Bombyx mori: one gene and its partners. Each later gene encodes a partner of the first gene's protein in a complex. Links are inferred from orthologs where the notes say so. Each region holds a gene or a part of one and is shown in the gene's direction. Other genes may lie near its edges.

Region 1 (4,155 bases):
GGGGGTGGTGCTGATAGGATCTCCGAAAGATCTATCTCTTTTTCTTCAATGAAATGGAGTTCTCTACCTCCTCCAGATGCGAACCTAAATGGCAGCGAATCAGGCTGAATAAATCCATATTGACACTAAAATGAATGAAATAATATAATGAATTAAAAAAAAATATTGTTAATTTATCATAGGAGACCATGGAACACTTAAAGCCATATTTAAATATTGCTTTAACTGCAGATATTAAAATACCTCATTGTTTTTTATCTTCAGGGCATGATCTATATCTGTAATGGAAAGTTTTTGTCTCTTTGAGTGATGCATGAACTTCATGGCATCTTGAACAATCACTTTCAAGCGATATGTAACATCATCAGCGAGTTCCTTAGCAGCGTCATCGCCAAGAGTGGCGATACCAACACTCTCTGCTATCACTTTCATGGAATCCAACGTTAACGAAGATCCATAAGCCAATTCTGAGTCGCCCATGATAGAAATTAAATCTATAAAAAAATAAGGTTGTGGTTTATGAAAGTTGTTAAAGTTCTCAATTCAATCAAAGGGAGCATATGAATACCTTTAAGATACGTTGACTACAGCATTAAACAATGATTTATCACCAAATTGGTTACGATTACGATAGACCCCTTGTATCACTGTATTCTTTGGGTTAATCTTTAATTTTTTATTCCTGCTTTTTTCTGATATTTTCCTGTTGTGATAAGGTAAAGTTAATTAATGTAGATAAGTAGGTAGGTATGTACCTGTGTACCCTAATTTATTTACTATTTGGATACAAGTAGACATTCTACCATAGATTTTTTTGGTACAACATATTCTTCTTCTTAGTTTTTGGATCCGGCACGTTTGTGCATTAGCCAGCGTCAAGTAATAAGATTTTTAGGAATCGCCGTTTTAAGTAGGTATTTACAGTTTACGAATAATAAAAAACGAAGGAAACTTAATCAATTGGCATGAAATGCTGCTTATGCTGCCCATGCTCTATTATTTGTCTTGAGTGTGAAAAAACTGGATGAAGCTATTTTATGCCAATACTATGGACATGTCACACCCAAAATTAAAACTACGGTCTCATGCCATAAGATGGGTGTAGATTATAATGTCTATGGGATCAAGTTGAGTGCATGAGCTAAGGATTGCGTAATTTATGATTTTTTTATTAAGCCAAGTAAATTTTATGACAACAAATAGAAACCATATTTTTTTACATTTTTAAGCATTGCTTTATAAAATTGTTCAGTAATGCATGCCACAGAAAAGTATTCCAGAAAATGAACAGTTATGAAACAAACATTTTTAAATTTGTGGTACATTTTGAGCTCATTTTTAGATCTAGCAATTTTTTGCTCTATAACTGACGACATATTGACTTTTGACGGCATTCCAATTTCTATTCGTTATTATTCATTTTGCCAACCATTTCAAAGAGAATAAAGGTAATCAATATAACCAACCATAGCTTCGCGTTCGATTACGGGCATTTGCAGCCTCATGCGCTTCAAGTTGTAATATTATTTTCAAAAGGTCTAGTTTTGTAAATAAGTGACTACTATCGGTTAGACGGAAAAATCGTTAAAATGTATAGAAATAAAAAAGACGTTGATAAGCACGTCGAAAATTTGCTGAACAAAATATCTTCGAGAGAGGTTGGTAGTTGGTGTTCAAATCAAGTATTACGCTTATTGACAAAGTTTTTACCATCGATATTTGGTTATTTTCAGTTTAAAAGTCGTGCTTATTCCATCGCTCGGTTGTATTTTGAAGTTGGCGATTTTGCGAATTGCCAAAAATATGTTGAGCAATATCTTACTCAAAAAGATAACAATGCAGCGGCTTATAAACTTCTCGGACAAGCTTTGCAGAAGATAGGACAAAAAGAAAAGGCTTTAGAACAATACAAAACTTCCCTGGACATTGACCCAGCCCAGACAAGCACTATTCTAGACAGTAAGTCTTACTAAAATAATATTTAATTTACAATTTATCATATAGCTACTTTACTAGGTTTGTTAATATTAAAACCAAAATCTTCTATTAAGCCATTTTTATGTGCAGTATTCTTATATATATTTATTTATATTTATGTGAAAATTATATTCTTAGTTATATTCTTTTTTTCTATCAGTAAGTGTGTTGGTGGTAGTACTATGATTAATTTATTTCCTTAGATGATTCTTGTCAGCTTGGAAGAGGTCATATTTAGTAATAAGACTGCATAAGCATAAGTACAATACATTGTTTGATTTTTTGTTTTTCTTTTGATTTTATATTGTTTTGCAATAAAGAATACTCTATTATTATCATGTATATAATAAACTACATAATATAATATTTTGTATGTTGTTAATAGGTATGTATTCATTTGTAGCTATTGTATAGTTTGAAGTTGTTATACCCGAAAAGATAAAATTCTTGAATGACTTCCACAATGCAGGAACACACTAACTTATAAAATCAACTAAAATTAGGTTTTGCTATACAAATGAGATATAGACCACAAGTCTTAAGATCTGGCCTCTCATGTCTAGAAGCTCTAGTAACCACTTAACACCAAGTGGGTCATGAGCTTGTTCATTCTTTATTAGGCTTGATTGATTGATCATGATTAGGCAAGTACTCACACATGACTAAATACAGTTTCAGATCAACTTTTCTAATTTATTATAAAAAAAAGAATAATATTCCTAACCTAAAAGTACATTTTATTATCCGCAACACGCTTCGTCAGATTACAGAAATAGAGTTATCAGCAACATGCTTCGTCAAAAAGTACAATACTTACTTTCAGTTACAAGCGTCGTCATAAGTAATACATAGGTCCACATATAGGTTTCAGATTGTATGATGCCTATTTCATATCACCTGATGTATAAAATATGTGTGTTGTGATTATTTTCATTCAGTGTGAATTGACCTGACCATTACAAGTAATAAAACCTTGCCATTGTTTACCTTACGTGCACTGCTTCACGTCAGATCTGTTTTGAATATTATACAAAACAATAAACTACAAGTGGCTGAAGGTCTAGTATAACCAGCCACTTTAATGCAATAAAAAAAAAACTAAGATAAATTAATTAATCCACCAAAAAAATAGTGGCAGTCAGCATAGCTTTTCCATCTGTATAATCATCTGTATTCCCTCTGTTATAATTGATTGACTTGTCTAAATTATAAATAATGGTCAGGAAGATCATAATTGATGTTTTAACACCATTTAAATGAAATATAAAAATACTTGTTTCAGTTTGTGAACTTCTAGCTGATTATGATGTGGAAATAGAACCTGGACGTGCAAAATACTGGTGTGAAAAAGCAGAAGCAATATTCCCTAGACACCCTGTTACTTTTCGACTCCGTGAAAGACTTCTATCCTTGCAAAATCCAAATCCTGAAGCACTAGTCAAATTAATAACCACAGAATTGGCAATAAGACCAAAAGATGCACAACTTCATGCACGTTTAATAAAACATTATATTAGCACAAATAAATTAAAAGAAGCTTTTGAACACAGTTGCAATATTGAGTTTGGTGAAAATTTTTTCATGAGTAATTATGCTTGGTATGAAATTTTAGCCAATCTTGTGGTAAATAGTGGAATTAACCATAATGAATGGCTGTACCAGTTATTGCTTTTAACTGTTAGAGAACGTTTGTGTGTCTTAAGTTTAACTGAAACACCAAGTGGTACATCAAAAAGCTTAGTAGAGTCACAAGAGTTTCTACAAGCCTATGATCAGTCAATTGAAATAGTTGCAAAAACAGGTCCTAGTCCTGGCCATGGAGATTTTCATGCAAGTTTGCTTCAACATCATAAAGGACAATTTAGCTTACATGCTGCTACACTGTTACTGAAGAGGGCAAAGAAAGACCAGTTGAATTGGAGAGATGCTGTAAAATATGCTGCACCATTGATGTTAATAGCATGGCAAACATTACCACTTGATCCAAAAGTAAACTGGGTTAAACATGCCCCAGAAAAACAGTCAAATGCAGTTAGACGGTGGTTTTCTGAAGGAACATACAGGTGCTCTCAAGCAGGTCATTATCTTTTGTCAAATATTCAAGATAAGAATCAAAAATTAGATCAAATATCACATACACTTGTTGGAACAACTTGGAGGGAAACAATCTATGAAAAA
Region 2 (4,177 bases), on another chromosome or scaffold:
GTTTTTTTCTTCTGTGATATAAATAAGAATAAGTACACTGGTTTTTTATAACCTAGTCTCAAATATATAATGTTATTAATACTACCTTTATAGTTTTTTGCAATCCTTTAATGGATTTGATAAACTTTTTTTGTTTGCTAGAATCCAACGCAACGTTTTCTTCCATTTTATTTCGTAATTTAAAATGTGATTTAAGCAAAAACTTAGAAGTGTAAATAAAGAACAACAAAGTCTTCTTTTTTAATTTTTAGGGATTTTATGACCTGGTAAGTAGGACCTTTAAGTCAAGTCTTATTTTTATTTTTATGAAAAGTGGTATGAAATGAAGGAAGCTGATTAATATAAAACAATGCACGAAATGTCATAAAATGAAAATGAAAATGAAAACGAAGTGAGACGAGACGAGACGAGATGAAACGGGACGAACGAGCACTTTCACAGATACTAAATAGTTAATAAACCACCGTTATTACACATTTAAACCTGAAGAAACACTTAATAGACAAAAATTTAATAAAACAAATCTCACAACTTCACTCTTCGCATTCCCGCCAAAAAGTCCCAAGCCTTCTCGTGTATTAAGTGCACAGATTGATGTTCGTTTTAATATGTATCGTTTGCGTCAGATAGGTGTAGGCATTACATATTATCTATTTTTTAGCTGCAAATACGGTACATCAATTTAATATAAAAATAGATTCCCTTTGGCTATCTGGTAGAAATAACAAACTCTCGTGTAACAGACACAAAAAGCTCAAGACCTTTAGGCGGGATCGTGAGAAAAGGATTAATGTGACTTGTTACATTTTGTTCATTTACTTTATGCTTAAACGTATAAAACAGTGGTTCACTAGCTTTTTCGCACCTGTGTTAATGCTTAAGGCTATGTTCCGATGTACACTGGGAGCACTGTAAAATATAATGTAAAATTAGTATACTGCGAAGCCATTCCTTTAATAGCTGCACTGGTTACTTTTTTAAATGGAACACAGTACAGTATAAGGGTGAGACCGATATATTAGTATTCATTAAGATATTCGTAATACAGCTTGGGAATTTTTAAATGCATTACTTTTTAATGTTTGAACCTTCATTTCTTGATTCCTTGAAGTCAAATTCCTAGATACAATATACTATTTATATTATTAATAACTAATGTGTATTATCTATGATTATTAACTTATTTCACGAATACCGTATTAGGTTTAACTCGTTTACCCGTTTTATCAAAGTATATTAAGATATCAGGATATTCACGTATTAGTTAAGGTATTATAATATTACATAACGAATATATTTGTATATTGACAAATATCAGTATTAACCCATCGTTAGTACAGTATGATGCCTGCAATTTGTGTCTCAAACAAAAAAAAATGTATGGTTGCCGCTGTTATAATTCACTTCATCTAAAAAAATAAATAAACATTTGATTTCACTTAATTACATTCCATTTCACATAATAAGTATAGTCTTGGCCTTCCAAATGCTTTAGCGGTATAGACTTCTTTCCGTGTGCCTATCCAAGGAATGAAAAACTTATCCTTTCTCCAGTTGAGCTGTGGAAAGTGGAAATGACATATAAAGAAAACAAAATTTCAATGTTTTCATGAGACCGATTTTGCGCTAATAAACTCTGATTCTTTGATAAATATCAATCATGAAATGTCGATTGACGAAATTATAGGAAAAACTACATTCTTGTAATTTTGTATATTAAAATTAGTCATTCAAAGTTAAAAATCCAGTAATACCTAACCACAATGTCGATGATAACTGGCACTCTTAATCAATACATACAATGTGTGGAACGTATGTACAGAACGGGACAAGGTAACATATTGTCTAGACTGTTGTCTCTAAGAGATGAACATGTCTACAATAGGAATCTATTATCTAGCGATATTGCAACCCTTGTCACAGGAAATTGTGTTGCTCCATTAGATGAACTTGTAATTGCACACTTATCATGTCTTAAGGTGAGATATATGAATTTAATTCTGGTTTTAAATTGATAAATATAGATTAAAAAATAGTAAATGTACCATTATTAATCTGGCCGTTACTACAGCGAACATTACCTGTTAAGTGTATTTTAAATATATCGTTTTATTAGCTTCTCGTCAAATACTTTTACTGGTGGCAAGACCTCTTGAGTCAGTAGTAGTCAGAAGCAGTAATGCATTTCGGTCAGAGACTGAGACCTTAGAACTTATATTTCAATATGGGTGGCGCATTTACGTTGTAGATATCTATGGGCTCCAGTAACCACTTAACACCAGGTGGGCTGTAAGCTCATCCACCGATCTAAGCAATAAAAAAAAATGCTTTGCATTCCAGGCATTATATGCAAGTGATTACATTGAGGCATACGATCATCAGAGTATATGTGTGGCCTCTGTCGTAAAGCTATTACAGGGACAGAAAGAAGAGAACTGGTGCCTTCCGGTTATGTATGCTGCATGTTTAGATCTTAGACTTGTTGCACAGAAAGCAGAGGCATCTAGCCGTAAGTATGAATTTGCATACATCATTCAAGAGCTAAGATAAGATGGTAATAGTATCAAGTGATTAGGGCATTAAGAATAAGATGCCTGGAGTACTCATATTGAAATCTTCAAATGCCAAGGAAAATAATGTGTCATAGAAATGAGATCTTATAGTATTTATGATGGTCGGTTGTGTTATAAGTTTGCACAACTAGGTATGTATTACCAAACTGCTTGTTTCTGTACTAAAGCAATCATGTATTCTAGCTTGAAGAATAGTGCAGCAATTACACTATACAATTCAGCCTTAAACTTCATCACTTAAGGCAGACTTCACAAAGTAACGTCTACAGACTCTAGTAACCACTCATCATCTGGTGGCTGTTTAAGTGCAGGTTCCCTTCTACTCAAGATTTGTCTCCTTAGTCTTGTTTGAAGAATGACTAACCCTAAGTGCTCAGTATATTCACAGGTGGTAGGATTCAACTCTGTTATGGTGGTACAATGTCGAAAAAACGAAATTATCTCAAATACTTGCATGAGTTGTTGTCTTAGTCAATATTGTGTTAAATAATCTGTATTCTGTACAATTAATTTCATTTGTCAATATTTCAGCTCAAAATGGCAGTAAAATTATGGAAAAAGCAGCAGAGAGCTTATTAGCTTGCTTCAGAGTCTGTGCTGCTGACAACAGAGCTTCAGATGTGGATACCAAAAAGATAGGCATGTTGTGTCTTGTAAACCAACTTCTTAAAGTATATTTCAGGATAAACAAGCTCCACCTTTGCAAACCATTGATTAGAGCCATTGATTCTTCACCATTCAAAGATCAATTCCCACTGGCCCAACAAATTACATACAGATATTTTGTGGGTCGTAAAGCCATGTTTGACTCAGACTATCGTCTAGCTGATGAATACTTATCGTTTGCTTTTGAAAATTGTCACAGAAGAAGCATACGAAATAAAAGGCTCATTCTAACTTATTTAGTTCCTGTGAAAATGCTGTTGGGTTTCATGCCCGCAAAATATTTACTAGAGAAATATGATTTGCTACAATTCTGGGATCTAATATCAGCTGTGAAAAATGGAGATTTGCGTGGTATCGATATGGTTATGGAGGAACATGAAAAGTTCTTCATAACGGCTGGTATTTATTTGATTGTAGAAAAATTAAAGATTACAGCATACAGAAATTTGTTTAGGAAAGTATATTTAGCGGAGAATTCACATCAGATAGACATAGCCAGCTTCGAGGCAGCATTACAAATCATGGGACAGGAAGATGTTGATTCAGATGAAACTCAATGTATTGTTGCAAATCTCATATATGATGGAAAAATCAAAGGATACATCTCATACCAACACAAGAAAGTGGTTGTCAGTAAACAAAATGCTTTTCCTCCATTATCTAGTCTGTATTAAATTTATACCATTTAAATAATACCTAGGGGAATACACACTTAATTTTTTGATTGTTTTAATAAAAATTAAGATTCCATTAGCATAAAGGCTGATTAAGTGAAATGTGATGATGAGCAATTGTATATCTGACGCAATTTCACTATTTAAATACTTTCTTTTTGATTACATATAATATCCATAAAAATACACAAAACAGTTCAGTAGTCCAGTTTTTTTATTTTAGTAGCACTAATGTGTTTAGGGTTGTCATTAAATAAAATAGAA
Region 3 (3,500 bases), on another chromosome or scaffold:
TTTCAATTTAACTTCGCTAGACTCTGAGCAGCTCAAGAAAGATTGTTCACTGGAAGACTTAAGGGGCGCGATAATACAACTAAAATTGGAACTTGTCCGCACCTGCGCTCTAGTCGCAGAAGCCCGTACACATGCTAAGTAAGTTAAGATAATTTTTTTTATATTGTAGTCTACTGAACGCGACTGTCGCTTTTAGATATGACGTCTAAGTCTCAATTGTATATAGTGCTAGCTAACCCGGCAGACTTCGTAGTGCCTCAATCGATAAATAAAAGACACATCAAGGGGACACATCAAAGGAAAAACAAAATTGTTTGTTTTTATATAATTCCGAGCTTTTTTATATTTTCTCACCTTTTAAACCTTCCCTGGACTTCCACACGAATAATTTAAGACCAAAATTAGCCAAATCGGGCCAGCCGTTCTCGAGTTTTAGCGAGACTAACGAATAGCAATTCATTTTTATATATAGAGATAACGGCGGTTTTAACCTCAGGCAGATAGAAATAGGATGATTTGTAGTACTCACCCGTGCTGGTTCACAATATACCAGTAAAAATACAACACTGTTATTTCTTCATTGTTGAAGTAATTCGTGAATACGTGATACGTACGTATTTCCTTAAAAAAAATTTATTTCTGTCTGCGGGGCTTGAACCCCGGCATAGTCGCATCGCGTGATTGATACGAATACATTGACGTCTCGTTCTCTAAGGAATTATTTGGTATGATAAAAAAATATCATTAGTATTGACTTAAATTTTCGGAATCAGAAAAACTATAAAATTATCTAGGCTTGGCAGTAAAAGTAGAAAATTTACTGGTGGTAGGACATCTTGTGAGCCCGCTCGGGTAGGTACCACCGCCCTGCCTATTTCTAGCGTGAAGCAGTAGTGCGTTTCGGTTTGAAGGGTGGGGCAGCCGTTGTACTACAAAACTGAAACCTTACAACTCATGTCTCGAGGTGGGTGGCGGCATTTACGTTATTTATGTCTATGGGCTCCGCTTGTTTTTACAATAAATTAAGCTGATATAATTAATAAGCACGTGTCTGTCGTAATAAGCATGTGTCTACGAAATACTATTATTATGTTTTAGCACCAAAGATCTACAACAATGGACGCAAGCGGATCCGCTGACAATAAAAAAAGTTGCATCAGTGAAGAAACTTGCTTATTACGTGCGGAATCAACTGGAACAAGCACAGAAAGCGCTGGATTATAAATGGAACGAAATAGTCGAGAATGATCCAAATGCCAAGTAAGTGTTGTAGGACATTACAAAAAAATATATATATGTATATAAAATTTTAATTTAAAGTTAAATTTTGCATTTATACTGGGTGATGCTTTTATTCGTCTAGTATAATTTTGTTTACCATTGCAACTCGTGATATTAAAGCGTAAATTTCATCATCCGATGTGAGACATCAAATATGTTATATTGTATAAAATCTTTGAGAGCCGAATCCGCGATTGCTTTGTGCCGAAATAAGCAAGTTGATCCCTACACCCATACGGTCACAAAACGCCCTTCTCCAAGTAATTACGTAAATTAAATAATTTTACGTGTTCGATTTTTATAATAATCTAAATTATTATATAATGTTAGATATTATTTGCCATAAACAAAATCAGTACCTGCCGTAGGATTGCGTCTTGCAATGCGTCTTCTTATCGTCTTATCTAGTAGGCTAGAAAGATTTCTTCTAATAAAAAAAACTGGTACTTTGTAAGTCCTCTAGGTGCCGACAATCTGTCTTTTCTGCGAAGACCAATCGTTCTTATTTCGAGGGCGGGAACAGCTGAAATAAAACTAGCTACTTCGTGTGTCAAAAACGGCGATATTTACTTTTCGGTGTTTTCGACTCTGATACCGGCTTTAAGACCAAGTATCCTTACGTCTGGGTCATAACAAATTAGTGTTTAATAATAAAAAGGAAAAAAATGTTAGTCAAGTCACATTATGCAGCCGACATCTTTAATAAATTAACTATTCAATAATATTCAGACAGGGAAAGTACATGATACGTCCAAGACTGGACGACGTGTACCAGCCGCTGGTGAAGCAACAAGAGATCCTGAGCCGACAACAGACCGTTTTAAGGAACCTGCGTAATGCACTCAAGGAATGTGACATATTACCGTTAAGCAAATCTCCGTCGCTGTTGAGAAGCACTCCTTTTAGGAACAAGTGAGTTTATATATAGAATTCATAAAATGCTTCGAAAATTAAATTCGTTTTTTTTTATTGCTTAGATGGGAGGACGAGCTCACAGCCCACCTGGTGTTAAGTGGTTACTGGAGCCCATAGACATCTGCAACGTAAGTGCGCCACCCACTTTGAGATATAAGTTCTAAGGTGTCAGCATAGTTACAACGGCTACCCCACCCTACAAACCGAAACGCATTTCTACTTCACGGCAGAAATAGGCAGGGTGGTGGTATCTACCCGTGCGGTCTCACAAGAGGTCCTACCACCAGTCGATTTGAAGAATTCAATTATATTTTCCAAGAATTCGATATTGTAATCTTCAAAATTCTGGATAGATCTATGTTTTGGTGCGGGCTGTATGGGCCGGTTGCTGATATAAAGAAAACTTGTGCTTTGTGCTGCAATACGGTTTATTTGAATGTCCATACACTTGATATTATTAATATGAAAAACACGTCCGCTCGCGGTGAAAAGTAAAAAAGGAAGAGACTGTTTTTTTTTTTTTTTTTAAGAGATTTTATGACCTGGTAACTAAGACCTTTAAGTCATGTCTTATTTTACTTTATATTCTTAATTTTATGAAAAATGATAATATGGAGTGAAATGAAATGAAGATGATTAATTTGAGACATTAATCAACTGGGATGAAATTTAATGAAATGAGATGATATGGGATGAAATATAATCGCAGTAAAATGGTGGTCATTTACTGAGATTTTTTCAGTGGACTTTTTGGAGGAACCCGAGAAGTTACGTCCAGCAGCTTTGTTTCATTTTCCCACATTTGTGCACTTTCACAGATATTAAACAGTTAATAAACCACCGTTATTACACATTTAAACCTGAAGAAACACTAAATAGACAAAATAAAACAAATCACACAACTTCACTGCTCGCGTTCCCGCCAAAAAGTCAGGAAGAGACTGACATCAACAATGTTGCCAGTCATATAATTTTATTTTCCATGCTAAAATGTTGGAGTTGCCAACACTCTATAATACATTAGAAACAGTAGTTGAAATCACCGACATTTGGGCTCGATAGATTTTTTTTTCTTTGTCCATTTCTGGTTCCATGTCGCATAAACTTGCCTATGTGTATGTATTAAAATATAATAAAGATACTTTTATCGATATTCACAGAGATCCTCTCTCGAAGTTAACGAAGAACATATTGAATATGAGCATAGAACCGGAAACGAAGACAAAGAAGCCCCTGCTCACGCCGCAAAAGTACGACGCTTTAAGAGATATGCTATCGAACCATAAAATAGTTAAAATAAAGCC
Region 4 (3,500 bases), about 10 Mb from region 1:
GTGTACATACCGTCACCAACATGGAAAAAATAAAGATATACATAATTTTAGCACATTTTATAACACGTAACGCAATAAGCAGTGTAAAGGAATTCTAATCAAAATAAATCGAGTATTCAATTACTGTGTTTAGTCGTCTTACGTGACGTCATTATGCTGATTGTTGTTGCAACGCGTTGCGGCGGCAGGGCGGACGAGGCGGCGCGCTCGGTGCAGGCGTACGCGCTGGAGGGGCTGGCGGCGCCGGGCGGCTCGCGCACGCGCCTGGACGCGCTGCTGCGCTGCGTGCGCCGCCTGTACGCGCGCGACCCGCACCGCCTGCGCGACGACTACTGGCAGCCGTGCCGCCCCGCGCACCAGCCGCGGTACGACACCCACCCTCCCACACTTGCAGTGATGCAAGAGATAACAATTTTTTATCTTCAAATTGTAGTAAAATATATAATTGATTTTTCTAAGTATATTATATACTATGTACTTATTTTTTCTAAATTCATGTTAATCAAATGTATGATAAGAAAGTGTTAAACCATTAAACCTCCTTAGTAAACTACAGCTTTATCTTTCAGCCTGTCGGAGCAGTACCTAATAAAAATGTTAATTTTACTTTTTAAAAAGTTCATATTATGATCAAGTATGATGTGTACAGTTGGGGCGGACGCGCGGCCTCGCTGTACAAGTTCGTGCGGGGCGCCGCCTCCAGCGCGGCGCTGCAGGCCATGGCTTCGCTCGCCGTCTGCACGCACACCTGGGCGCTGCTCTCCCGCCGCGACGCGCTCTCCGCGCACCACATGCTGCTCGCACTCGCCAGATACCACTCGTACGTACACACGCACGCACACCTGGGCGCTGTACTGTATACGATATATAGTTAATTATATTGTAACGCGCTGGGGCTCGGGATAAATAAATGTTCCACCAAAGTACAACTAAAAACAGTATTCAACACTTAGAATACTTAAAACACTTCACAAACACTTTAAAATTCTCAATTCACTTTTTCCGCTTCGCTTCAGGTGATCCGTTCGCTATTTCGCTTCGAGTAGTTCCGGTTACTAACTAACTGCGTGCCATCCCTGCAACGCTTTTATAGCCGACACCACATCCCTATAATTATCGAGAATATTCCACACATTTCGAGTATTGTGTTTCCGCTATCTGACAATAGATGGCGTTGTACTTCTCGAGCGTTCTAGGTGCTACTAGATCCTTCGACATTCGTTTGACTATTCGGCGATAGATAGCGCTACTCTTACCGGCTTAACAATATTATTAAAAGTAACTGTACGCAGTCGCGATTGTCACGCACACAGGAACCTGCGCACGGACCACGCGCCGTTCTCGGACGCGCTGCACTCCTCGTCGCTGGGAGCCACGGCCATCGTCACTCCAGCAGCCAGACCGGGGAAACTGCTCATCCGACAGGAAGAGGTAAGGAGAATTGGTACATTGTACAAAATTAATCATTAAAAAAACGCTCATTTGCGAAACCACTCTCGCGACATCTGCCATGTTGTGATGACACAGTAAAAAAGTCTCCCCCGGAGTCCCAATAACAAAATTCCAACTCAATCATACGGAAGACACGCTCGTGCTCCAAGGGCACAAGGGAACAGTAATCCGTGACCGCGGAGGTCTGAACCTAACTATGGATCGGATTTCTTAAGTGGTGGGGATAACGGAATGGACTTGTGAAGACGCGGCTGTAGCTATTGTATGAAATTGTAACGTTTAATACAGTGTAACATAGATCCAGTGGTTTCATTGGAATCCACAGGATGCGTAAAGTCTGCAAGTGAACTAAATCTTTATGTCGTAACGATTGAGTATATTGTTACGCGCTGGGGTTCGGGATAAATAAATTCTACTGAATTACAAGTTAACACTGTATTAGCACTTAGGACACTTCAATACACTTCACTACACTTTAAAATTCTCAATTCGCTTCATTCGCTTCGAGTAGTTCCGATTACTGACTGACTGCGTGCTATCCCTGCAACGTTTTTATAGTCGATACCACATCCCTAGAATTATCGAGAATATTCCACACATCTCTAGTATTGTTTCCGCTATCTGACAATAGATGGCGTTGTACTTCTCGAGAGTGCTAGGTGCTACTAGATCCTTTGATATTGGTTCGACTATTCGGCGATAGATGACGTTACTCTTACCGGCGTAACAATATTTTATTGAGGCTTCTTTGTGGCGGTATTGTAAATGTAATTGATGTCTGTTGTTCGCGGGCAGGTGGAGGCGATGATAGCGGCGCTGCAGCTGCTGGCGGGGGTGGCGCGCGAGGACCAGGCCGCGGCCGCCGCCATCTGCGAGAACCTGCAGTGGGACGCCGTCAACAACATGTTCGGTGCGTGCCCCGCCGCGCTCACATTGGTACAACGCAACCACGACAGCTGAACCTTCCATACTATCTGGAGCCACTCATCCACAGTGCCTTTTCAGAATTATTTTCTGCCACGTACCATCCGGCTTTGGAATGAGCTCCTCACTACGGTGTTTCTCGAGTGCTATGACATGTCCTGCTTCAAACGAGGCTGGTGGAGAGTACTTAGCGGTAGGAAGCAGCTTGACTCTGCCTCTGGCATCCTTGAAGTCCATGGGCGACGATAACCACGCACTATTAAGTCGTATGTTCGTCTGTCTACATGGGCAATAAAAAAAAAAAAAATCGGTTGTGAATGTTTCACCTCTCGCTGTACTGGCGGACTTACGCCTGAGCTTTTGCAAGATAATTTGTGGCCACATCGGTCACAGTAAAATGAGTGAGACCAGCGGGCGCAGCCGCAACCTGCAACGCACGGACGTGACTATCTGTTTACCTATCTATGATCATGTGTAATGTAATCATTGCGTTCTACAAGCAAACAAAAGTAATTTACAGAAGATCGATCCAATTGAAGCGGCTCATAGACCGTGAACCATTTTGGAAGCCGATTCTTTAATCCACAACGTATAAATAGTTACATAGTGTCAGCATGTTCGAGTTGGTACAAACGACGCGACGGTTTCGGCGCGACTCGGACACGCCACTAACACAATACGAGTGACGAGAAACTTAGACAATATATCGACGCTTGAAAGGCAAACGTGACTAAGCGACAATAACTGCTTTGTACATAAATTATAGGCATTAACCATATTCGATGCGCAAAAAATATATATTTCTAGGTCTATTAAAATCATTCCAATCCTACAGCTAGATTCGTTAAAATAGAATTTTTTTCAGGTATTTCAACTTTAAATTAGTCTACTGTAAAGTTCACGCATTGTCGCTTAGTCACGTTTGCTTTTCAAGCGTCGATATTCTTCTTCCGCAGGGCTGATGTGCTGCCACATACCGTTGCAGCTGAAGGCGGAGCTGTGCCTGACGCTGGCGGCGCTGGGCGGCTGGCCCTGCACCGCGCCGCGCCTGTGGGCCGGGCTGGAGGCCGCCCGCCTCGTCTCCCTCACCAACGACAAGCGGGCGCTCAACGCTGAACTGCAGG
Region 5 (3,500 bases), on another chromosome or scaffold:
GCGGGTAAAGTATATGTTTATGTTTTTTGAACTATCCGACGGCTCACCTAGATTAATACAGTAAGAGTAACGCCATCTGTCATCAAACACCAGAAACGAATATTAAAAGAACTAGTAACATCGAAATGCTCGAGAAGTGTAACGCCATCTATTATCAAATAGCGGAAACATACATCGAAGGTACACGCTTTTTTTTTTTTCTCTTTTTTATTGCTTAGATGGGTGGACGAGCTCACAGCCCACCTGGTGTTAAGTGGTTACTGGAGCCTATAGACATCTACAACGTAAATGCGCCACCCACCTTGAGACATAAGTTCTAAGGTCTCAGTATAGTTACAATGGCTGCCGCACCCTTCAAACCGAAACGCATTACTGCTTCACGGCAGAAATAGGCAGGGTAGTGGTACTTACCCGCGCGGACTCACAAGAGGTCCTACCTACCACCAGCAATATCGAGAACGCTCGAGAATTGTAACGCCATCTATTATCAAATAGCGGAAACACACATCGAAGGTACTCGATTTCTGAGGCATGTTCTCAACGATTATAGGGATGTCGTAGCGACTATAAAAGCGTTGCTGAGACGGCGTTGTACTTCTCGAGCGTTCTAGATGTTTCTAGATCCTTCGATATTCGTTCGACTATTCGACGATAGATGGCGTTACTCTAACCGGCGTAACAATAAGTACGTTTGTCAGTTTCTGGTACCCATGGTTCAGGGAATTTTAATTTCGGGCCGGATGTAATTGCGTTATTTATTTTGTGTCTTGTGATGGATACTGATATATATATATATATATATTTTTTTTGTTTTTTTTTTTCTTTGCAGGCTCCACCCTGTTCAATACAACGACGACACAAGCGCCGGCGTTCGGCGCCAGTACTAACACATTCGGGTTTGGCGCCAACACGCAGAATCAGGTCAGCAGAATTAAGGATAATAATCCTTAAAACCTTTGGAATACTGTATTGAGGCGGGCAGCGGCCTCACTCCGCCCCTGGCGTTGCCGAGGGCCACGAGCAACGGTAACCATATACCAACAGGTGGGCCGTAAGCTCGTCTGGTTAGAAGGACAAAAATATATTTATCGAAGGGTGAAATGATATTCGGTTTAAGGGACTTTTCTCTTTGTAATTAAAGGTCCGTTTTATTTAGTATCGACATCAACAAGTTCGATGTTTTTAATTGAACTACAATTAAGTTTACCCCGTTGTAATAGTTGTACAAGTTTTTTTGTTATGATATTTTTAACCGATTTAAAAAAGGGGGGAGGTTCTCAATTCGACTGTATGTTTTTTTTCTATGTTTGTTACCTCATAACTTTTGACTGGGTGAATCGATTTTGATGATTCTTTTTTTATTGCTGGAAAGCTGACGCTTCCCGTGTGGTCCCATTTCAATTTAGTCCAGTTCCGATAATGGTATCCATGAGAAAACCATATAAGTCTTAAATTTGCATTAAGTACGTGCGCGACAAATAGATAGATGAATAACTCAATAACTCAATATCACGCCAACCGATTTCGATGATTATTGTTTTTAGTGTATATTAATTTGCTTTGGAATATCTTCTTTTTTTTTCTATTTTATGTCGGTTTTTGCTGAAGCATGTCTATTTACAATTATTTCGAACTAGAGTTAGTATTACCAATAATAAAGAGTAAATTAGCTGAAATATTTTTTATACGTGTGATCGAATTCTACTGTCTGTAGGCAGCCAAGCGTATCGTTTATACGATAGTAAGTGGGCGCTCATGGTGGTGATGAGTGCTTGAGTTCAAATATTGATTTTACGAAATTATTTGTTTCAGTCAACTGGTATATTCGGGGCGAAGCCGGCAACCGGAGCGTTCGGCACGACGCCGGCCAGCTCGGGCTTCGGTTCATTCTCGGGGGGCGGAGCACCCTTCGCTGCCAAGACGACGGCTCCGGCGTTCGGTACCACCACATCCGGTATTTTTTTCTTTTTTTTGCCTTTTTTTGTGTGCACAATATATATTAAATAAATAAATACGATCGAGACATACATCTTATGTCTTGAAGTTCTGATGTCCATGGGCCGCGGTGAGCACTGAACCCGCTGCCCGGCGTGCTCACGGTCAATGTGTTTCGTCCACAGCATTCGGCAGCATGGCGCCTACGTTCGGCAGCGGCACGCAGGGCGGGGGCCTGTTCGGGCAGGGCACGGCCTTCGGGAAGCCGGCCACCACGCAGCCCAGCTTCAGCTTCGCCGCCTCGCAGCCCGCCGGTACGTATAGCTGGGGGGAGGGGGTCCCGCGCGGCACTCGGCGCTCCGTACTTTCAGGGTCTTCATCTGCTAATTCAGAGGCTAACATCATTGCACCCAAATGCCTCGTTGTTAACCATCCTCGAATCCCCCAACGTATTTTTTATAAGTTTGCATTTTTTTAGCTACATTGAACATAGCAAAATATATACTGCGATAAGAAATCACTTTTGCATATTTTATCGAAACCACTTTCGTGAAACTGGAGTTTAATATGCATCACACTAATTTCGTAACGTAAATTCGTACTAACGCTATCGTGTCCCCCTCAGCGCCGGGGCTGGGGGCCGGGGCGGGGGGCGTGTTCCAGGGCAAGCCCGCGGCGCCGAGCTTCGGCACGCTCGGGCTCGGCACGTTCCAGCAGCAGCCCGCCAACACGTTCAAGACGGGTGAGAGCTTCACTACATAGTATAAAACAAAGTCGCTTTCTCTGTCCCTATATCTGTCCCTGTGTATGCTTAAATCTTAAAACTACGCAACGGATTTTGATACGGTTTTTTTTTAATAAATAGAGTGATTGAAGAGAAAGGTTTATATGTATAATAACATTCATTAAATAGTGGAGAAATCAATAATAAATTACAGTTTCCGAAGCGAAGCGAGGGCGGGTCGCTAGTTCTCTATACAACGAACCGACCCGCGACCACGGAGGTCTCAAAAGGCACGTGGAAGTTGTCGTGGCCTAAAGGATAAGACGTCCGGTGCATTCGTGTGTAGCGATGCACCGGTGTTCGAATCCCAGGCGGGTACCTACCAATTTTTCTAATGAAATACGTACTCAACAAATGTTCACGATTGACTTACACGGTGAAGGAGTAACATCGTGTAATAAAAATCAAACCAGTCAAAATATCCTGGTGGCCCTGCCTATTTCTGCCGTAAAGCAGTAATGCGTTTCGGTTTGAATGGCGGGGCAGCCATTTTAACTACTGAGACCTTAGAACTCATATCTCAAGGTGGGTGGCGCATTTACGTCATAGATGTCCATGGGCTCCGGTAACCAATTCACACCAGGTGGGCCGTGAGCTCGTCCACCCATCTAAGCAATGAAAACGAGGCTTGATGAGAGTACTCAGGGGTTTGTTGATGTCGATAAGCAACGGTCACCACCAGGAGGCCGTGAGCTCACCAGCCATTTTTTTTTTTTTTGGCAAAACGTCCCAGGAAAATTTGCTTGTACCGCACGATGTTATATCGCTGTGGGGGTCGGTG
Region 6 (3,500 bases), on another chromosome or scaffold:
ATAAGTTTGGGAACTCCTGATTTAGGACCATAATTTATGAACATTACACTATAGCGAGAGATTACATACATTAAATGTAATCAACCTTGCAGGATCAATCAAAGTGCTCACAAATAGCTAAACAAAGAATGTTTAATATCCTCAACGAGCTTTGTGACAAGTTTGATGGAGACGGAAGCCTCAGCAATCAAACTGGCATTATACAGCTGTGTTCAGACCTGCTTCAGTCACCAGAAATAGCTTGTCAATTCTGGAAACTTCATCAGAGAGACAAAGACTTTGGTGTAGTGTCATTATGGAATACTGCACTAGAATATTTCCCTCATCATTTTAGTCCTCTCTCAAATTTAGCTGCTGGCTTAGTTCAAGCTGGTAAGAACAGCGTCAGAAATGTAAGTAATTTTAAGTAATATTTTTTGATTTAAATTGCTAATAGCATTCTTAACTAAAAAAAAAAAAAAAAAGTTGAATCAAGCGATCAAGACGAAATCCTCTTGCTCAGATATAAATGATACATAATGTATTATTGTAAAAGATTACCATTTTCGTGTGTAACTTATAACAGGCAATTATTTTGAACAAATATGCATTTTTTAAACTATAGTTATTCTGCTGCACTTCACTCTTAACTATTGTAGTTTATTTATAGAGTAGTATATGTTTATGCATGATTGTTTTTGATAAAAATGTATTTTCATAAAGCATTTAATAATATTTAAATTGGGAATTTAGCTAGTGATAAAGGTAGTTCCGAAATATTGATAAAAGGATGCACATAATGGAACATTACATCCGCTATTTAATTTTGAGTAATCAAAAGCTTTGCCTTAAAGTCTGAGAGCTTGTAAATATTAATTGCTATGTCATTTTACAACGAATGTCCATACTGTTTTCACAAACGGTTTCTGGATCTGTTGCACAAAATTATGTAGATAAACAAACATGGAAAGTTGCTGCAGTCAATGTTTTAGGGGGGATACCACTTTGCTAAAAAATCTCGTTCAGCTTTGGAGTCATAGGATCGTATGTAATATGTCCCGAATTATTAAAGTTATTTATTTACTTATAGCATATTATTAATAGTGCTATGCCACAAACTTACCATCAAGTAACATTTGTACTGAATTGGATAAAGAAGATGCCTGTGTATTAGCAACACAAAACAAAAAAGCATACAAATATTGATATAGATGGGATAGTGTATTATGCTACTAATATTAAGCATGATATTTTGTGAGAATTGTTACTCTTCCACTCAAAAATTATTGGACAGAATTTGATGAAACATAGCTTTACACATCAGAATAGCACATAGTGAATATTATAGTACGATCAATATACAATAGGTGGCGCCCAAGTTAAGGAACTGATATATTTCAAATAACTAGCGATAGACACAGTAGGACTCGTTTGGTTTTCACCAGCAACTAATATACAATTTTAAATGATTACAGCTAATATCTGAATTGAAAAATTTACCTGTATACACGGAAATATACAATCCAAACGCAGTACCACTGGTATCTATACAATACGATGACGCCATAGTCGGCAGAGAGTACTACCCTCTGGGAGATCCGTCTTATCGCATTGAAACTGGCTCCAAAGCCACAATCATGGAAAGAAAGGAAGGCACCATGATCCACTTCAGAACACCTTACTCTTATTGGACGGTGTTCAACAGCGATATAGAAAAAGCTTTAGACAGAAAACATCATCAGTACAACGTCAATGCGATATTGCAGAGAGTTTTTGAAGGTGCGAGAGTATTAAAGGGTGTACTCAAGTCGCTGGTTGAGGAGAAAGAGATCCCAAAGGCGTTGGTAGAATCATGTGAAGGAGTTTTCGATATACTAGTAAGGTTTATGAGGGCTGATTCTCCGCCTCTGCTGCTTTTGGTGGAATGCCTTGAAGTATGTTCTGCGTTGGTGCCAGTTTTCCCGAAAGAAATTCATTTGAGGTGTGTAATTTACATTTTTTTCAATCATTTTTAAGGGAAACTTAATTTGACACAAACACTTTATTTTAAATAAAAACTTTTTTTAAATAACAAATTTTTTAGACTTCTCTCAATGTAAGCTTATTATCTCTTATCTTAATATAATAAGATATTGTTTATTTACTAATACGAAAATCTAAGAAGTGTTAAATTTTATTGTTAACAAAAAAAAAAATTGCAATAAATATATTTTTCAGATTGATAAACGCAGGTCTGTTACCACGCATCATGAATCAGAAATTGACGCATATAGAGTATGCCAATGGCGAATCGTTTGATTCAGCTACCGTTGGATCCTATTTAGTTGCACTAGAACAACCTACAGGAACATACAAGTTCCTATCTGCGTATATTGATATGCTTTGCACCTTTCATGAGGTACTGAGAAAATTGTGATTCGTATTCGTAGTAGTAAAAGTTTTAAGGTCTTTTTAGTAATATCACAGAAACTATTAACCTTGGTTTATCTAGATAATAAATATTTTCCTTTAGTCAAAATTTTGTCATAGCATCAAAGAAGACTCCTAAATAAATTTCACCTAAATCGAAAGGGGTCGATCTAACCTGCAATTTCTGTTCTATAAATCTAAAATAAAACACAAAGCCTTTAACTCTTTGACTGCCGTGTAGGTCACCGGTGCCCTACGCGGCGCATTGAAGTAATTATGTCGATTTCTGTTACTAAAACGCCCGGACTGCCTAACTTTGCCTTCTTTTGTTGGTTAATATGGTATGGTATGGTAAAAACTAAACCAGTCTTTTAAGTTGCTTAGAAATAGATTCATTCTCAGGATCGTTCGGATTCGTCTCTCCCAGAGAGTCTACTAGATATTCCGGCGCCTCAGTAAGAAGATAAGAAGAAGAGTAGAGAAGAGAATTACTTCAGTGCGCCGCGTAGAGCACCGGTGACCTACACGGCAGTCAACGTGTTAAACAATTTTGTCATACACTATAGGTCTTTAATTAATTTGGGACGGAGCTTATAACGGTAACTATTTCAAAACAATAACAGGCATCAACCGAAGAACGTGTTACCAAAGAAATAATTCTGCCCGGATTGATCCTGCTCCTGCGCGAAGTGTTGCCGAACGCATACGGCTGGCGCTACACGAACATACAGGACCGGCGCGCCATGTTGCAGCGCTGTATGCGCTTCCTGACCTTAGTGTTGCAAGACCAGAAAACAGATGGCAGCACCGCGCTGTTGAAACGGACCTGTGTATATAGTTTACTGCACACTGAAAACGCTTTGGTGCTGCTCAAGATTATTTCACTGGGTGAGTTTTTTTTTCTCCTTTTTTTTACCTAAGCTGATGGTCTAGAGAGACCATTCCAGCGTTAGCAAGGGCCGTGCTTCGCAGAATCTACCATCAGATCGGAAACGCGACCCACTGAGAAGATCCGACGAGAAACTCAGTGGAATGTGTCTGTAGGCTAATTTACTCGCCGAGCCCGTAGTCGCAAGCGACGGATTCGACGAAAACTATGACCAGTGCTTGGG
Region 7 (4,151 bases), on another chromosome or scaffold:
ATATGTCCTCCAACAGGTCATCCGGTCAGCGACATTACTTATTAAATAAAAATGCAAAGTCATCAAATGTTCACGTACCTTTATACCTTGTAAATACTGGAAGGATTTAATTTCAGGGTAAATATAAACTTAAAAACTTTTTTTATTATAGGGGATAAACGTTTCACAATGAATCACGAGCGTCAAACTACGAAAACAAACAAAAACGTCAACTGTCAATGCATACCTTTTTAAAATATGTTTACGGCTATCATACTCGACTTTTTAGTTATCTTGGGTTAAAGTTTGTCTAGCACTGTTGGCCGTATGTTCGTGTATTTAAAGTTTGTAAGAAACTTTTCGGCGGGGAGGCAAGGTAACTGTATGGATTATTTTATTTTGTTAATTTAGTGTTGCTTCTAGTTTAAACGTATAATCATGGTAGATTATCAATCGTTTAGCATCTGTGAAAGTGCAGAAGTTGAAACCCGAAGTACAAAAGTCGAACGCGAACGAAATTACATGTAGATTTCAGTAAATTTCATTATTGGGTATCACTGTTCTGTCTGTTTCTAAAGCATAACAGTTAGAAAGCGTTCCGCTATGAAAGGTGGACTACATAGTCTATACAATACAAATGAGTCTTTGATTTTATGTTTTGTGATCGGTGGCAATATTAACGTAGTGCTCGGTGCGACACGATAATCTATTTAATGTGACCGCTGCTTATTACATATCCGACTCAAAGGACGAGGCAACGTAAAATTACATCGCGAAACATGACCTATCCGATCCTTTCACTCACGGTTACTTTCTTCATCAATCACGTCAATTGCGACGAAGTTTTCGATGATCGAATTAACTCATAGACACAACCCACTGCGTTTCTGGCCGGATATTCTCAATGAGTCGTGATTCTGATCGGGTAATAGATTTTGCAGCGGCACTGTTCTTGCTAGGGCTAGTGTTAGCAAATTTTCTCAGGTTGAATTTCTGAGCTCATCTACTTGTTTGCGCGTAGCTGAAATAGCCCCTTAGACACCAGCGAATAGACAACGAATTATAAAAAATAACAGGTGCGTATTGCTCGTCAACTTATCTAAATCTAATAGGAAGGAATGAAACCAAATTGAATCATCTGAAATTGCAATGAGATGAGATGAGGTGACGTCGAAATAGAATTGTGTGCGTATTTTTGAAAAAGATACCGCTAAGCCATGTCCTGCGATTTTGTTTTATTTTCTCACACCTGCCCATATACACATGCTAAAAGATTACTAACCCACTATTATTACGCATTTGACCAAAAAGAATAATTGGCTGTATGGATTTTGTTTCCTTTGCTTTCACCTTGTTCTATGTGTGAAACAAATAAAAAAATCAGCGCATTTGAAACGGCGGTTTCTGATCAATTCTGTTTCGCATTCAAATGTTTACAAAATTTTATGTGAAATTGCATTGTGTACATGAAAGATTTAATACAAAATGAATATAACGACTTTTTCTAACAATAATGTTCGTGGCGATGATAGTAGTCCTATTATTCGAGCTAAAACATTTGTAAGTAATTAACATGATTCAACGAATATATAGGTTATGTTTGAGTTAAGTTATTTTTTTTGTTTCTTACAGAATATACCAGAAAAATGTTTCAATAAGGGCGTAGGATGTGCGTGGAGGAGTGGTAACAAGTTTTCTATCTACCCACGCAGTCAAACTGTTTCGAAAACACCAAAAAATGATGTCGAAAACAAAATACTCAATATACGTCACGAGATTGTATTATTTCATCCGATTTTACGAAAACTGGTAAACGAATCCAATGGTACATATTTATCTCTGCAGAAACTCGTCGATTCTTCAAAAAATAATGACAATCACGTGGAATTATTAAAACTTTCACGACAATATCGTTCTATTATAAGAGTGTGCATTGAAAACTTGCAAGAAGCCCTTAATGATGCGAAAGACGGCAGCGACATGATCAATTTACAATCATACATTACAATATTTTATTCTGTTGAATGTATTTGGCATTTATGTGAGATCCTTTACATAGATAAGATTCCCGGAGACATTGTGTTGCCATACCTCCTAGAATGGGTTCGATTCCATTTTCCGTGCCATGAGCAGACTGCAGCGCAGTTGCTGGAGGCCTGTGAGCGAGGTTCAGAAGACCACGATGACTATTGGGATACTGTGATTGGCATGGTTGTGCAAGGGCGAGTAGATGTCGCCCGAGCTCTACTGAAATTAAATTCATTATCAGAAACAAATGAATTTAAGCTTGTTGATAATTCATTACGGAGTATGCCTGTTTATAGTGTGAGTATAAAAATGAAATATAATTTCTAAAGTCAAATTATCATTTAAATTCCTCACAAATAAAGGGAACAATTGATTTTCATTAAGTATTCCACAGTATAAATTAATTAAGAGCAAAAATTATACTTTGGATAGTTAAGAGACAATTTATCTGAACAATTCCATCACCATTTAGAGATGTTTGGAACATGCTAATAAGATATTTTATATGAATGTTTTTTCTTTATGAATGAAAGATTACTGGTGGCCCGGAGGCCTTTCCAGTTTCACCAGGACAGGTGGGCGAGTAAAGGCTCAGCCATATATGAACTTTACTCTTGTCTTATTAGATTTTTATGTCTAAACTACTGAATGACTGTTCACATGATATAGGTTATAGTCCACACATGTCAAACTTCAGCTGGAAAACTATTTTGGGAAAAACAATTAACACCATCAAAATTTATAAATTTATGTTATTATTAATTTATGTAACCATTGTGTCAGATCAAAGACTTCATTGTGGTTATGAAAAGTTGTATATTATTAAACAAATTTAACCTGGGATATCCTATAGCTAAAAGTTCGATCTTACCTCACATCTTGCCATAAACACTTTACATCTACATAACATGGATATAAAATTACAGATATATGGTGGTATATCAACTGGGGAGTTTACAGTAACTTGGAAGCATTGGCAGGCTGAATGCAGAGCTAAGGTTACTAGCAGAGTGTTGGCATCACAACCAAAACTTGAACTTATTATGAGAGTAAGTAAAGATGTGTGAATCAATTAAGTAACTGCATAAACTAGAAACTGTTCTTGTCCTCAAAATTCTTAGATTAAAGTGTATACCACCATCATCATCATTTACTACATTCAAAAAATTTGTAAAATTACCTATTTATCTATGCTAATTTCCCCGTTCTAAGCCAAATCAAATAGGAACATGGCAGATGCAAGCATACCTGTTGAATAACGGTAATAATAACAGCATAATATACAGCAAATAAGAACATTTAATTAATTTAATCAGTTAATCTATAACTTCAAAATAAATGAGTTATGATTTGAATATTGTGAAATGAATTTTTTTCTTAATTGAAAATGTTTTCAAGAATTATTTTTTTATATTATTAAGTGGTTCATTAATTAACACTAAGTCTTAAAATAGGCTTTAGGAAGATGAAGTGAGCTAATTAGGCTTATTTTTTATTATACTAAAACATTGTGTAATTCGTTTACTAATTTATACAATTTTGTCCCACAGTTAATCATAGGAGAATATTCAGCATTTGAGTCAATACGTAGCACATACACATCGTGGTTTGATATGTTGGGAGGCTACGTAATGTTCACAGCACCTTGGTCTAGGACTCATGAGTTGTCTGCTGCAGCATCGGCCTGTGCTGGAATGGGATCTATGCCCTCAGGCTCTAGGCTGGATAGGACTTTACGGGCATTGTTGGAAGGTGATATGCATCAAGTAAGTGACAGATGCCAGTAAGCTGGTAAAAAGATTAGTTAAATTTTTAATTAATTGGTACAGCCTGGCCATATACAAAGCACTGCGCAACCGGTGCAACCATTTGTGCAGAGATGCTAAAAGACTTTACTTTCACAAATCACTTGAAAATCGCAGCCCTGCTCATACTTGGAGATTCCTTAAATCTGTCGGCATTGGCAAAACTCCGGTCTCTTCTGTCAAGGATACTGACTTGTGCGCCCTCAATAAGCATTTTTCTCTCCCTCCTGTGTCACTCAGTGATTCGTCAAAGACGGCCACGTTGCTTAAGATTTCAAGTCTATCCGTACCCCGGATCCCTATTTTTGACTTAAGTCCAGTCTCGGTTGCTGATGTCCG

The links.
Region 2: E3 SUMO-protein ligase RanBP2 (region 1) and PCI domain-containing protein 2 homolog share a complex: the UniProt entries of both Drosophila melanogaster proteins name them as parts of the nuclear pore complex. The link is inferred for Bombyx mori from reciprocal best matches to the Drosophila melanogaster genes Nup358 and PCID2.
Region 3: E3 SUMO-protein ligase RanBP2 (region 1) and nuclear pore complex protein Nup214 share a complex: the UniProt entries of both Drosophila melanogaster proteins name them as parts of the nuclear pore complex. The link is inferred for Bombyx mori from reciprocal best matches to the Drosophila melanogaster genes Nup358 and Nup214.
Region 4: E3 SUMO-protein ligase RanBP2 (region 1) and nuclear pore complex protein Nup205 share a complex: the UniProt entries of both Drosophila melanogaster proteins name them as parts of the nuclear pore complex. The link is inferred for Bombyx mori from reciprocal best matches to the Drosophila melanogaster genes Nup358 and Nup205.
Region 5: E3 SUMO-protein ligase RanBP2 (region 1) and nuclear pore complex protein Nup98-Nup96 share a complex: the UniProt entries of both Drosophila melanogaster proteins name them as parts of the nuclear pore complex. The link is inferred for Bombyx mori from reciprocal best matches to the Drosophila melanogaster genes Nup358 and Nup98-96.
Region 6: E3 SUMO-protein ligase RanBP2 (region 1) and nucleoporin Nup188 share a complex: the UniProt entries of both Drosophila melanogaster proteins name them as parts of the nuclear pore complex. The link is inferred for Bombyx mori from reciprocal best matches to the Drosophila melanogaster genes Nup358 and Nup188.
Region 7: E3 SUMO-protein ligase RanBP2 (region 1) and nuclear pore complex protein Nup85 share a complex: the UniProt entries of both Drosophila melanogaster proteins name them as parts of the nuclear pore complex. The link is inferred for Bombyx mori from reciprocal best matches to the Drosophila melanogaster genes Nup358 and Nup75.

What each region holds. Positions count from the first base shown.
Region 1 is NC_085121.1:11,012,575-11,016,729, forward strand, and holds the start of E3 SUMO-protein ligase RanBP2, read left to right. Parts: upstream 1-1,355; 5' UTR 1,356-1,589; coding exon 1,590-1,658; intron 1,659-1,733; coding exon 1,734-1,959; intron 1,960-3,259; coding exon 3,260-4,155. Other genes in the region: transcription initiation factor TFIID subunit 6, read right to left, coding at 1-125, 244-480. UniProt on the Drosophila melanogaster protein: E3 SUMO-protein ligase. Component of the nuclear pore complex (NPC), a complex required for trafficking across the nuclear envelope.
Region 2 is NC_085115.1:3,910,084-3,914,260, reverse strand, and holds the start of PCI domain-containing protein 2 homolog, read left to right. Parts: upstream 1-1,377; 5' UTR 1,378-1,763; coding exon 1,764-1,979; intron 1,980-2,340; coding exon 2,341-2,509; intron 2,510-3,104; coding exon 3,105-3,913; 3' UTR 3,914-4,177. Other genes in the region: Nopp34 (nucleolar phosphoprotein), read right to left, coding at 1-11, 86-166. UniProt on the Drosophila melanogaster protein: Required for the export of nuclear mRNAs and involved in mRNA trafficking in the cytoplasm.
Region 3 is NC_085123.1:8,944,261-8,947,760, reverse strand, and holds part of nuclear pore complex protein Nup214, read left to right. Parts: coding exon 1-138; intron 139-1,098; coding exon 1,099-1,260; intron 1,261-2,010; coding exon 2,011-2,193; intron 2,194-3,356; coding exon 3,357-3,500. UniProt on the Drosophila melanogaster protein: Part of the nuclear pore complex. Serves as a docking site in the receptor-mediated import of substrates across the nuclear pore complex including emb, RanGAP and phosphorylated Mad. Protects mbo/Nup88 from proteasomal degradation at the nuclear pore.
Region 4 is NC_085121.1:1,014,373-1,017,872, forward strand, and holds part of nuclear pore complex protein Nup205, read left to right. Parts: intron 1-188; coding exon 189-365; intron 366-649; coding exon 650-820; intron 821-1,313; coding exon 1,314-1,431; intron 1,432-2,247; coding exon 2,248-2,362; intron 2,363-3,332; coding exon 3,333-3,500. UniProt on the Drosophila melanogaster protein: Plays a role in the nuclear pore complex (NPC) assembly and maintenance, but with limited role in NPC permeability. Required for specific nuclear import pathways such as Mad import.
Region 5 is NC_085117.1:3,526,906-3,530,405, forward strand, and holds part of nuclear pore complex protein Nup98-Nup96, read left to right. Parts: coding exon 1-4; intron 5-829; coding exon 830-921; intron 922-1,812; coding exon 1,813-1,954; intron 1,955-2,120; coding exon 2,121-2,249; intron 2,250-2,560; coding exon 2,561-2,677; intron 2,678-3,500. UniProt on the Drosophila melanogaster protein: Part of the nuclear pore complex (NPC). Required for MAD import as part of the Nup107-160 complex and required for nuclear export of Moe probably via its association with Rae1. Plays a role in nuclear mRNA export.
Region 6 is NC_085111.1:4,868,685-4,872,184, reverse strand, and holds part of nucleoporin Nup188, read left to right. Parts: intron 1-92; coding exon 93-392; intron 393-1,454; coding exon 1,455-1,960; intron 1,961-2,196; coding exon 2,197-2,377; intron 2,378-3,011; coding exon 3,012-3,276; intron 3,277-3,500. UniProt on the Drosophila melanogaster protein: Component of the nuclear pore complex (NPC), a complex required for the trafficking across the nuclear envelope. Required for proper protein transport into the nucleus.
Region 7 is NC_085123.1:528,829-532,979, reverse strand, and holds the start of nuclear pore complex protein Nup85, read left to right. Parts: upstream 1-1,351; 5' UTR 1,352-1,464; coding exon 1,465-1,539; intron 1,540-1,611; coding exon 1,612-2,304; intron 2,305-2,933; coding exon 2,934-3,056; intron 3,057-3,557; coding exon 3,558-3,773; intron 3,774-4,151. UniProt on the Drosophila melanogaster protein: Component of the nuclear pore complex (NPC) that seems to be required for NPC assembly and maintenance. Required for nuclear import of phosphorylated Mad via importin msk.